Linked DNA regions of Schizosaccharomyces pombe. Changing the gene in region 2 together with the main gene of any one other region gives a genetic interaction. Each region holds a gene or a part of one and is shown on either strand. Other genes may lie near its edges.

Evidence for each region.
Region 1: mutations in eca39 (region 2) and SPOM_SPCC1020.07 together harm fitness less than expected from each alone (positive genetic interaction), as found in Schizosaccharomyces pombe (one large-scale study listed by BioGRID).
Region 3: mutations in eca39 (region 2) and SPOM_SPAC10F6.14C together harm fitness more than expected from each alone (negative genetic interaction), as found in Schizosaccharomyces pombe (one large-scale study listed by BioGRID).

What each region holds. Positions count from the first base shown.
Region 1 is NC_003421.2:769,930-773,686, forward strand, and holds SPOM_SPCC1020.07 (pseudouridine-5'-phosphatase), read right to left. Parts: upstream 2,035-3,757; 5' UTR 1,797-2,034; coding exon 1,764-1,796; exon of another isoform or gene 1,593-1,763; coding exon 1,550-1,592; exon of another isoform or gene 1,485-1,549; coding exon 1,422-1,484; intron 1,365-1,421; coding exon 793-1,364; 3' UTR 346-792; downstream 1-345. Other genes in the region: wybutosine biosynthesis protein Tyw1, read right to left, coding at 1-123; tal1 (transaldolase), read left to right, coding at 3,569-3,757.
Region 2 is NC_003423.3:442,242-445,998, reverse strand, and holds eca39 (branched chain amino acid aminotransferase Eca39), read left to right. Parts: upstream 1-2,062; 5' UTR 2,063-2,084; coding exon 2,085-3,368; 3' UTR 3,369-3,655; downstream 3,656-3,757. Other genes in the region: thiamine-repressible acid phosphatase Pho4, read left to right, coding at 1-582. UniProt on the Schizosaccharomyces pombe protein: Catalyzes the first reaction in the catabolism of the essential branched chain amino acids leucine, isoleucine, and valine.
Region 3 is NC_003424.3:1,232,297-1,236,053, forward strand, and holds the start of SPOM_SPAC10F6.14C (ABC1 kinase family protein), read right to left. Parts: upstream 1,746-3,757; 5' UTR 1,628-1,745; coding exon 20-1,627; 3' UTR 1-19. Other genes in the region: SPOM_SPAC10F6.15 (uncharacterized protein), read left to right, coding at 3,371-3,757.

The DNA.
Region 1 (3,757 bases), on a different chromosome or scaffold from region 2:
ATTGGACAATTGGGTTTTTCGTCGAATCAGAAAATGGATCAGTACAGGCAGCAGCAAGACTATGTACAATACAGCCCGGTATTCTTCCCAATGCTCCCCGATGTACCCCAAAGAATACCCCATGGCAATGATTTACCACTGGAATTTAGCAAAGAAATAGTATCCTTGGTGGTTGGAAAAAGGATTCTTTGAGGTGTGGCATATGGAAAAGACACAGGCAAATTTCACCAATAAGCGCCAACAGAACTAAGTCCAGCTAGAGAGTACTAAAATGAAGGATGAACTTTTAAATTAATTTAAAATTTTTACTTATTTGTTTATTTTATGATTAATTTTACCTTATTAATATATAAGTGCTTTCATCTAAATGATGGAGTGCTGGCCAAAAAGGTACTTTTTGTAAAAGTCAACATTCTTGAAAATCAAACTATAAGAAAAGCAATATCTCTTAAAATACCTCATGTGTAGTAACATTTAGAAAAATTGCTAGATAGCTAGTGTTAGACGTAGTGAAAATGATACTTGGAGATGAGACACTTTCAAACGATTGAAGAAAGAATCAAGGATGAGGGCTTTGTAATGATTGTTATTTGTGAAAAGTATTCAAAAAAGATTTGGAATGTTTGATGAGAGTTCATTTTTAAAGATTTTACGACATGGGAATATATCAGTAAAACGAAGAATAAAAAGTAAATAATGCAGCTAGCATGCTGCGTCTTAAATAAAGAGCAAAAAAAAAGATATAAAGCAAAAGCGATAAATGAAGAAAGTAAGAGAAAGAAACCAATTCAACTATACCTTTGTAACATCGAAATTCTCCAAGCTTAGCACCTTTGTTATATGCTTGTCCGCAGCTTGTTCTGGAGAAAGAGAAAAAAAGGGAAGAATATTGACATCAGGAACCCACACAACTTTCATGCCTGCCGCCCGGCCTGATTGAACTCCTGTAATGGAATCTTCAAAAACCAAGCAGTTCTCTGGCAGGATTTCTGCCTGGCCTTGAGCCTTGCGCTTGTCGTTGATCATCTTCAAAGCGATGAACCAAATATCTGGGTGAGGTTTGCCTCTACCGACGGGTAATCGAGGGTCATCTCCAGTGATAATGTTTCCATCAAAATGATCAAACAAATGACTCAAATGAGCGGACTTCTTTTCAAAGTTGTGTGTGTCACTGGAAGTGGCTAGTGCTATAGGAATGTTTAGTGATTTCAACTTACTTAACAAATTCATAACGCCAGGTAAAGGCTTTGTATGCCTCCATAGTTCAGCTTGAGTTTCACGTTGTAATGCTATGTATTCTTCGCAGGTCAAATCAATACCCGACCAATCCAAAAAGATTCTGCTGGCCTCCTTTGAAGTTCGGCCTAAAGCATGAATGATTAGAAGGTTGAAAAAAACAACAACAGCTCAAAGCCACTTACCCATCATCTTAGCCTTGACTTCCATGGAGAAGGGGCCTTTGTTATAGCGCTTTAAAATGATATCTAGACGCACCGTTAGCCTAACCAATACCTTTGAACAGAAAGGGAAAAGGAAGAGTAAAACTTACTAGTGCTTTTTGTGTAGATTGACTCTGTATCGACCAACAAGCCCTGTATTCGTTAGATAGAAGGACACTTTATCGCTTTTCAAGTAGTATGCTTTAAGGAATCATCAGGCTAAGCACTTTTAAGTAGAATGAAAAACAAATAAACGATAATAAATATTGTATTTGTTGATCATGGACGCCGTAAATGATCCATATTATTTTACTATGTACGTACGTCCATATCGAAAAGACACGCCTCAGGAATCATCTTTAAAGTAAAGTAAGGGTTTTAATAAAAAGAATGTCTTTGTTTTTCTACGATGAAGAAAGATATTGTTGAAAGGATATATACTATTCGTAACAGAATGAAACCAATTTCGATCAGTATACGGACGAAAGCAGCAATGGGAATGAGATGAATATACGATAACTTATCAAATAATTCAAGTTTAGACAATCACAGTCGTCCTTAATAAATTCTGCTAGAAGTAGTCAAACGTGGAGTTGACAAGTTGCAAGACGAGCCATTGTTTAGGCAAAGGTGAGAAATAGAATATTTGTGGCATTAGGAAAGCTTTTGGACTTGCAAATAGAATTGCTTGAAAATAATGAGTGTAAAGAGAGGTAAAGTTGGCGAATTTGTTGAGTCAGGGATTGAACTTGATTCATCTAAATGATAATGTTATGGTAAGATAAAAAGAAACTAGAAAAAAATAGAAGAAAGTTTATAAAGTGCAATGACATTGAATTTACTCGACTCTCTTCCTATTACACGACAAGCTCAGTTTATGGATGTTTATTTGTCTACAAACAATTCATTCACGTGTGACTTTGAACTTGACCGGAAACATGTTACAGAAGGTGGTTTGAAAGTAAAATTGATACGGGAATGGGTGTCTTATTGAAAAACTACAAAGCTGTACTCGATGACTATGGAATGTCATCAGGTGGATATACAGATAGCTCTTTTTAAATGTCGAGTGAGATATCGGTGGTTTATTTTGAAGAAAATTACTTAAAAAGTGATTAAAGTAATAATAAGTAATGAAAGTCAAATAAAAGGCCTTACGATTATCTGCTCGTCAACTATGGGTATACAGGTGTATCTCACACTATGCTTGAAGATTTCGCTGACGATTATATAGACAATGTCCATAAACAGGTTAAAACCAAGCCTTTTTAATTACGAACTTGACCATTTCTGAAGACTGTAGATACCTTAGAAGCTAATCTCATTTGTATTACTGTAAGAGGCAATTCGAATCGACAAGAGTGTAGGTAGAAGAGTATACCTATCCAAAGAGTATCAGATGCTTTTACCAATTTAAGAGTTTTCCATGGATATGTATTCAATTTTAGGTCCAACTATTTAACACTTGTGCGAACATCGATCATGTCCGATGCAGCAACTTGCTGCTGTCATGTCGCTCAAACCAAACAAAAGAAATGTGCCAATTAACAAAATATTTCCAATACTATACTTGTAACGTTCTAGCATTAATACATACCTTAAGGCACTACTTGCAATCAGCCCAGTCATGTCAATCTCTTCAATATCTTGTTCGGGATCCCGCTTGCGACCAGCGCATTATTTTTCTTAGATTACTGACATTATATATTTCAATTTGGAACAAAAAAACAATCTGATTTCGACCATTTTTTAAAATTTTTCTTTTTCATAAATTTTTTCGACTTTTCCTATACTTTCGATGGTGAAGAATGCATTGAGCACAGTCTGCAGCTTCCATTTTTTTCTTCTGAAATTTTATAGTAAAATCGAAAGTTTTTCATCTGCTTAAGCAATCAATTAAATCTAGACAAACATTGCTAAGTTCTCCGCAAATTCAAAGAAACTTTGGCTGACGTACCTAAAATGCTTAAGTGGAAGTTTCCACGCTACACACAACTTAACCAGAACCTATATCCTTAGGAACACCAAGAAACTCAGAAAAGGTATGTTTGTAGTGTTTTTTAGGAAAAACGAAGTTATTTGTCTGGAAAAAGTATTTACTAACGAGTTTTTGAGGTAGTTTTATCAAAATGTCTTCATTGGAACAATTAAAGGCCACTGGCACTGTTGTCGTCTCCGATACTGGAGATTTTGAATCGATCGCCAAATACAAACCCCAAGATGCCACCACAAACCCTTCTCTCATCTTGGCCGCTTCTAAGAAGCCCCAATATGCTGCTCTCGTCGACGCTGCTGTTGACTATGCCAAGGCAAAGGGT
Region 2 (3,757 bases):
AGAGATAACAGCGATTTCTGTTCACTCTTTACTCCCTCTGAATTTTTGAATTTTGAATATGACAGTGACCTTGACTACGCATATTGGGGTGGTCCCGCTTCAGAATGGGCTTCCACATTAGGTGGGGCTTATGTTAATAACCTTGCAAATAATCTTCGTAAGGGTGTGAATAATGCTTCCGATCGTAAGGTATTCTTAGCGTTTACCCACGACTCTCAAATTATTCCAGTCGAGGCTGCTCTTGGGTTTTTCCCCGACATTACTCCTGAGCACCCTCTACCGACTGACAAAAACATTTTTACATACTCATTAAAAACCTCTTCGTTCGTTCCCTTCGCAGGAAACTTAATTACTGAACTTTTCTTATGTTCTGATAATAAATACTATGTACGCCATCTCGTCAACCAGCAAGTATACCCCCTTACTGATTGCGGTTATGGTCCTAGTGGTGCTTCAGATGGGTTATGCGAGTTGAGCGCTTACTTGAATTCTTCGGTTCGTGTTAATTCTACCTCTAATGGTATTGCTAATTTTAACTCGCAATGTCAGGCGCATTCCACCAACGTTACCGTCTACTACTAGACTTAGCATCTTATATTATTGTTAACACAATTGGGTCCTTAGGAATAATATAGATAATTTTTAACTATAGTAATAGCTTATGTATAAGACTTAGGTATTAAGGAGGAAAAGTAGAGCGAACAGAAAGTGAGCATTTATATATTCAAGAAAGACTTACGAGACATAGTATAAACGAGTTGTGTCAGTGTTTGAACAAAAAAGGAAATACTTATAGTTTTAAATGCCTAGTACGAAATCTATAACCTTCACTCGTACCGCCTTTAGGTGAAGCTAATTCTTCAATTCGACTTACTTCAAAGCCTTTCAAGTGACTCCGTAGCTTTTGTAATTCCTTTCCAAATCATTAATATTAATAGGTCGGGATAAATCTTAAACATTTCTCAAGATATAACGCGTACATTAACGATTCCTTTTGGCGTCAACAACTCACCTTTTACCACACACGAACGACACAAAAGTTTAATAGAATTCATTTAAAATATTTGAAAGTCATGTAATTTGCCAAAAAAAAAATCCCTAGTCCTCCTTTTCCATTACACGGATAAAAGAATCAATCAATCCCTTTTTTTAAACCCTTTAATATCTGTAGCTCTATAAATCAAAATGAACATTGCCATGAGATGTTCCAAATGATAAAACTAAGGCTTCGCGTAAGAAGGTGCTTCTTCTGACAATTTTCTTATTTTTTAAGATACTATCCAAAATCACCGATTTCAAACATTTTCGCGAAAAACCAGCTATCCGGAATTACCAAAGCATTAAATCTTCAATAATTAAACATGGTAATCACACCAAACAGCGCATTTTCAAACTCATCTGATTACCGCATGTGTAAGAATCTATATTCTTTGCCCACAACTTTACCAAATAACCGTATCTCAAACCTATGAATCTTCATTAAATTGCACGGGAAAATCTATACTCCTACTCCTAGTGTTTTAACGAATGCTTTTTTATTGCTAAAAGAATAGGCCATTTGCAACTTTTGAGAGAGTTTTTAAACATGTATCTCAACTGCGTTCTAAATGTCCAACATTTTTCGAGAATGTTAAGAAACCTAGTTTTCTAAAATATTCCTTCTAACCTTTCATTTTCTTCAAAATTCATTTACACCTGTCGCAATATAAAAAGGGAAAAAATTGACATACGTTTTAGGCGATGATCGCTTATTTCCAACATCGGTTTAATAATTTGAGTGTCAAAATCATAATTATAAAAATTGATGTCGATAAATTAGCTTCCTTTATGAGTTCAAACTAATTTCTTTATGCTATTACTACTAAAGCTATGCCAATGGTACTCAGGATTAAAGGTGGCCACGTGGTCAGTCTTTATCACTATTGATCTCGGTTCTTTAACAAACCTACTTGTCCATTTAGCACCCTGTAGTTGTTACCAATCAGCTATCTAATCTCGGCCGTCTCTAGATCCGTTTGGATAGACGCTATTATTTATTTTACCTAGCCCCAACTTTTTCGGTATCAGGCGAAGAAGAAGAAAAAATGAGTTTAATGTTTTTGAGGAGAGCGGGCAATATAAAAGGCAGAAATATTCGCTTTGCCCTTCAACGTGGCTCTGTAGGTTATTCTCAACAAAGCTCTGAGGCTTGTAAAAATTTCCTCAACACTACACAACTTCGTACCATGGTTCAAACTGCTGCTCTCCATGGCCCAAAGCCCATGGATAGCTCCCATATAAAAGTTACTAATGTTAAGGAGCTTAAACCTTTGCCCGAATGGAAGAGTTTGAAGTTTGGTGAGAATTTTACTGATCATATGCTTATTATGAAATGGAACAGAGAAAAGGGTTGGAGTACTCCTGAGATCGTTCCATTTGGTAAACTTTGCTTTCACCCTGCTTCCTCCGTTTTCCATTATGGTTTTGAGTGCTTTGAAGGCATGAAAGCTTTCCGTGACGAAAAGGGTGTCCCACGTCTTTTCCGTCCCATCAAGAATGCTGAGCGTATGCTTTCAACTGGTACTCGTATATCTCTTCCTTCCTTCGACCCTGCTGAGCTTGCTGAAATTATCAGAAAGTTCGTCGCTCACGAAAACCGTTGGGTCCCTGATCAGCGTGGTTACTCTTTGTACATTCGTCCTACTTTCATTGGTACTGATGAAGCCTTAGGTGTCCACCATTGTGACAACGCTATGCTTTATGTTATTGCCTCTCCCGTTGGCCCCTACTACAGCTCTGGTTTCAAGGCCGTTAAGCTTTGTTGCTCCGAAGAATCCGTTCGTGCTTGGCCTGGCGGTACTGGTCACTACAAGCTTGGTGGTAACTATGCTCCTAGTGTTTTGCCTCAAAAAGAGGCTGCCAAGAAGGGGTATGCTCAGATTCTCTGGCTTTATGGAGACGAGGACTACATTACTGAGGTTGGTACTATGAACTGCTTTACTGTTTGGATTAACAAGAATGGCGAAAAAGAAATCATTACTGCCCCTCTTGACGGTATGATCTTACCTGGTGTCACTCGTGATTCTATTTTGGAAATTTGCCGTGAACGTCTCGCACCTAAAGGCTGGAAGATTACTGAGGGCAAGTATTCCATGAAAGAGGTTGCTCAAGCTTCTAAGGAAGGTCGCCTTTTGGAAGTCTTTGGAGCTGGTACTGCTGCCCTTGTTTCCCCCGTCAAGGCTATTAACTACAAGGGTACTGAGTATGAAATTCCCATGCCTGAGGGTCAGGAAGCTGGTCCCATCACTTCTGAAATCAGCAAATGGATTTTGGATATCCAATACGGCAAGGAACCTAACAACCCTTGGAGCGTTCCTGCTTTGCCTTAAATTTAATTCTCAAAAAATACCTAACTATGTCTGTCTTTAGACATTTATGATATTAGGTGTCCATAATTATTACATATAGACCTTTCGAGGGTTAATCCCTTTTATCTTTGTTGGTTTCTCTGATTCGTGTTACTTTTCCTTTTCAATTCTTTTATTGATAACATTACAGAAGGATAGTCTTCTTGTATATAAATTTGTAAATCAATCGGAGTATTTATGAATTGTTCAATACTAGCGTAAACATCAATTAGTGTTATTCTACAGATATATTAAATTTATTCAATACACATCGTTTATTATTCATTTAGGCTAGTAAAGTGTAAAAATGTAATAGTAAATAAAATTATCTAAGCTACATGGTAAATGAGAGAAAAGTAATTGATTGGGCT
Region 3 (3,757 bases), on a different chromosome or scaffold from region 2:
GTAATCTTTACTATAAATATCATTTTTTATCATTAGTAAGTTCAGGCAACCGAAAATTTCCAGGGTAAAATAAATGTTGAAAGACCCAAAAAATAGGCGACAACAGCCGTTGATACCAAGTTGGACTAGGTTTGTCGGTAGTGTATTTATCAGCAACCTTGGCCATAACAGCTATACTATTCACTGGATACCCAAAATTTTGGTTATTTTTTTGAATAAGCATTAAGCAGCGACCTAGCATTAACAGCTCTTTCGGTAAACGAGTGCAGTCCTGTAAGAAGCCAATGAACTTTTTGCGTTCAGCAAGCTGCTGTTGGAAGGCCTCTTTCTTTGAAATAATTTTTTCACCAGTGTGAGGTTGCTCTTCATCCATTGGAATATTTAACATGCGGTTAGCAAAAAGCTCAGGTTGTCCAATCCCCCAAGCATCCATTACCTGAAGAATAGATTTTTTGTCTAATGAATAGGCTGCAGTGAAAAGCAAGGCAAATTCTTTTCTAAACTTTTCTGATTCAAATACATATAACCCATGATCCAAAATTACCGTTTGACACAAGCCTGCTTGATTTTTTCGAACAAGGATATTTCCAGGATGTGGATCACAATGAACTTGTTTCGAATGAAACATTTGGAAGGCAAGGAATCTGAAAAGGTTCGTTAAAATTTCCTTTTTGCTCATCCCAGCTTCAGAAAGAGCAGTTTGATCATAGAGGGGAATGCCATCAGCCCATTCAGTAACCATTACTCGCTTTCCAGAAATCTCTTTATAAACCTTTGGTATATATATCTTATCTCTTAAATAATCAGTTTCTTCTACCCCTTCACGAGCATGTTCCGAATTGTTAGCTTCAGTTGTAAAATCAACCTCAGAACGTAATCTTTCCGAGACATAATCAACCGTAAAGTAGAGAGGGATATGAAATATCCATTTATCATAAACATACATCATGTATTTGTACACGAGAAGATCCCACGACATTTGCTTAGCAACATCTGGTTTTTGAATTTTTACCGCGACCTTTTCACCGCTAGGTAAAACAGCACGATGTACCTGCGCAATACTGGCACTTGCAGCAGCACGTTTCTCAATGCTGGCAAATACTTCCTCTACTGGTCTTCCATATTGCTCTTTGAATATGTCTTGAAGTTCTTCCCATTCAACTTGAGGTGCATTGTCAAACATTCCCTGAAAGGCTTTCCCATACGCTTCAGGCAAATTATTTGATTGCATAGCAATGATTTGACCCATCTTGATGTATAAACCGCCATTTTTGTAAATCGTTTTAAACAGTCTCTGTGCTACTCTTTGGTGCAAAGCATCAATTTTGTCTGCCTTTTTTTCGCTGAAATTCAACTTATAGTCAGCCGCAATTATAGAAGCGGTGTATACTGTTCTAATACTACGGGTAAGTGCATGGGCATTATACACTCGATCCCAAGCGTAGACACCTATTCCAGCAGCACCAACAAATACGAACCTCTTCATCCATTTACGTTTGTTACCAGGAACTCCATGATTTTGCAATGCTTGACTGTTATAACGTACATCAGCATATGTCTTTGATCGCTTAATGAAGCGACTGGTAGTTTTCTGCAGTAGAGAAATTGTTCTCCACGAAGTCAACATCTCTACGGGATGAAGGCTTTGAAGAAGACGAATTTGAGCAGAAGTAAACTAAGTTCAACACTTTGGATTCAAGGAAGGTAGTAAAGGGACTATCATAAATAGATCAAGTTGGCGCTGTGTCCTTTCAACATTCTCAACTTTCTGACCTAAGGCAGCCATTGAAATGCATTCTCCCATTTAGCGTATCATACTTTTGATAAATTAACTGAAGATAACGTCGCCAGTATACTATTATTTTAGACATTATATTACACAATTCATAAATAATGATATTCAGTGTAGTCGTTATGAATGAGGGATTCTGTCAATAACTTTTTTATTACAAGGTGATATGCTACTACAGCTCCGATAACACTTAAGAACATTGCTCATTGATATACTGAAAGTATTAAATGCTATGTCGGTCAATTGCTCGTCGAAGAATCGCAGAGCAACAGATCTATTCAATCCAAAAACAGGTTAGGGTTATAAACAGTCACGTAAATAGTCAGTAATATATATACCACTGTTTCCACTTTAATTTTTCCAAATGATACCTTTGAGCTCGAACGATCGTGGTTGAAGCAGTCATACAGGAATTTTTATTCCTCTAAACAGCTTTAGGGAAAGTCCCCGGACTCTTGCGTCTTGATCTCCATGGAGATTGGGACAGGCGGTAACGTGCTGACTTGAAGAATCAGCGGTTTCATTAATGGCGCTAGTTTTTCCTTTAGCCTTTGTACTTTAAACCTCAAGAGATATAACTCCTTGTCCAGAATGGAGTAGATAAGGAATACAGTCTATGAGTTGTGTTTCTTGAGCGTCTAGTGTACGAACGGTATGGTTGATTACGCCATTTCTGAATTGTGGTTTTTCGTCGTAGTTGATAGTTATACGGTCGCATCCATTTGTTGATGTATCACAATGGGGCTTAGTCTCGTGCTCAAAGGTTTTTTTCCTTAAAGAAAAAGGTTTGAAAATTTGGTTTACTCTGTCGGAGTGCTTGTTCGAATCAAGCCAGACCTACTTTTAGTTAGCATATTATTAAATGTAGCTTTTCCCAAAATATGATGATCGACAAATACAAAGAGTCAAGCACTGAAACGCGATAGCGTCTTGTTGAGTTATTTGGTCTGATTTTGGTATTCATATAAGTTTTTTGTTTCTAGAGCTGTTTTACGTTATTTAATGAATTATGTTTTCTTGTAATGAATTATAGGTGCTATGTAGCGTGATATCAAGTTTTGCTTTTTCTTATTGAAAGTGTTAAGGTACGTTGGCATAGGCTCGTTAAAAACGAATGTTTGGGGTTCAGATATGTTATCCATGCATTAAATTTTCAGAGATAAGTCAAGCAAAAGAACTGCAAATTTAGCCGCCATCAATGTTTTACTAATTGCGGTAGTAACAGTTTGGTTTAGTGATGGAAATAGCATAGGTAGCATAATAACATAAGTCGCAGTAGCTCAGCTGTGTTATTGTTTACATTACTTGGTTGCGAATTTTTGGCATCATTTATTGTTTGCGGGCTTTTTTCCTTCAAAATTAGATTGCTCGTAATCTCTTGACGATGGGATTTTATGATTTACCTCTCTCATTACTAATTTGATTTAATCCTACAACGCAGCATTTTTACTTTTTTTGCCAGCTGGTTCAAGCTGGATCTTTTGGCATATTGTAAAGTGCTTAATTTCTGTTGAGGTTTCCCTATAACTATAATTTCTGATACTTGTTAGTGTTATGCAAACATAGTTATTATTTTCCATGAACTATAATGCAAATGTTGTCAAGTTTCATTCAACAATACTTCACAAATTCGCTCTGAAAATATCGAAATTTCTAATTTTATGCATGCGTCGAAATAAGCGCCAATTGGCTTGTATGAAATGCCAATGTGAAAATCCAATGGCTGCGATTACATATGCAGATATTGAATATCCTCACAATACGCATTTTCTACTTTTAGACTCAATTTCGTGGATACCGTGTACATGTAAAATTCTCAAGTTAAAAGAATTCGAGCTGCCAGATCGCTTTGACATTCCAAATTTGTTTTATGATGGTTGGTTATCTTATGTTTTCCATACGTTTAGTGGTGTCTATTTGAAAATTGGTTATGAAATGGATGAGAGCGGGTTTTGCCTTCCTGAT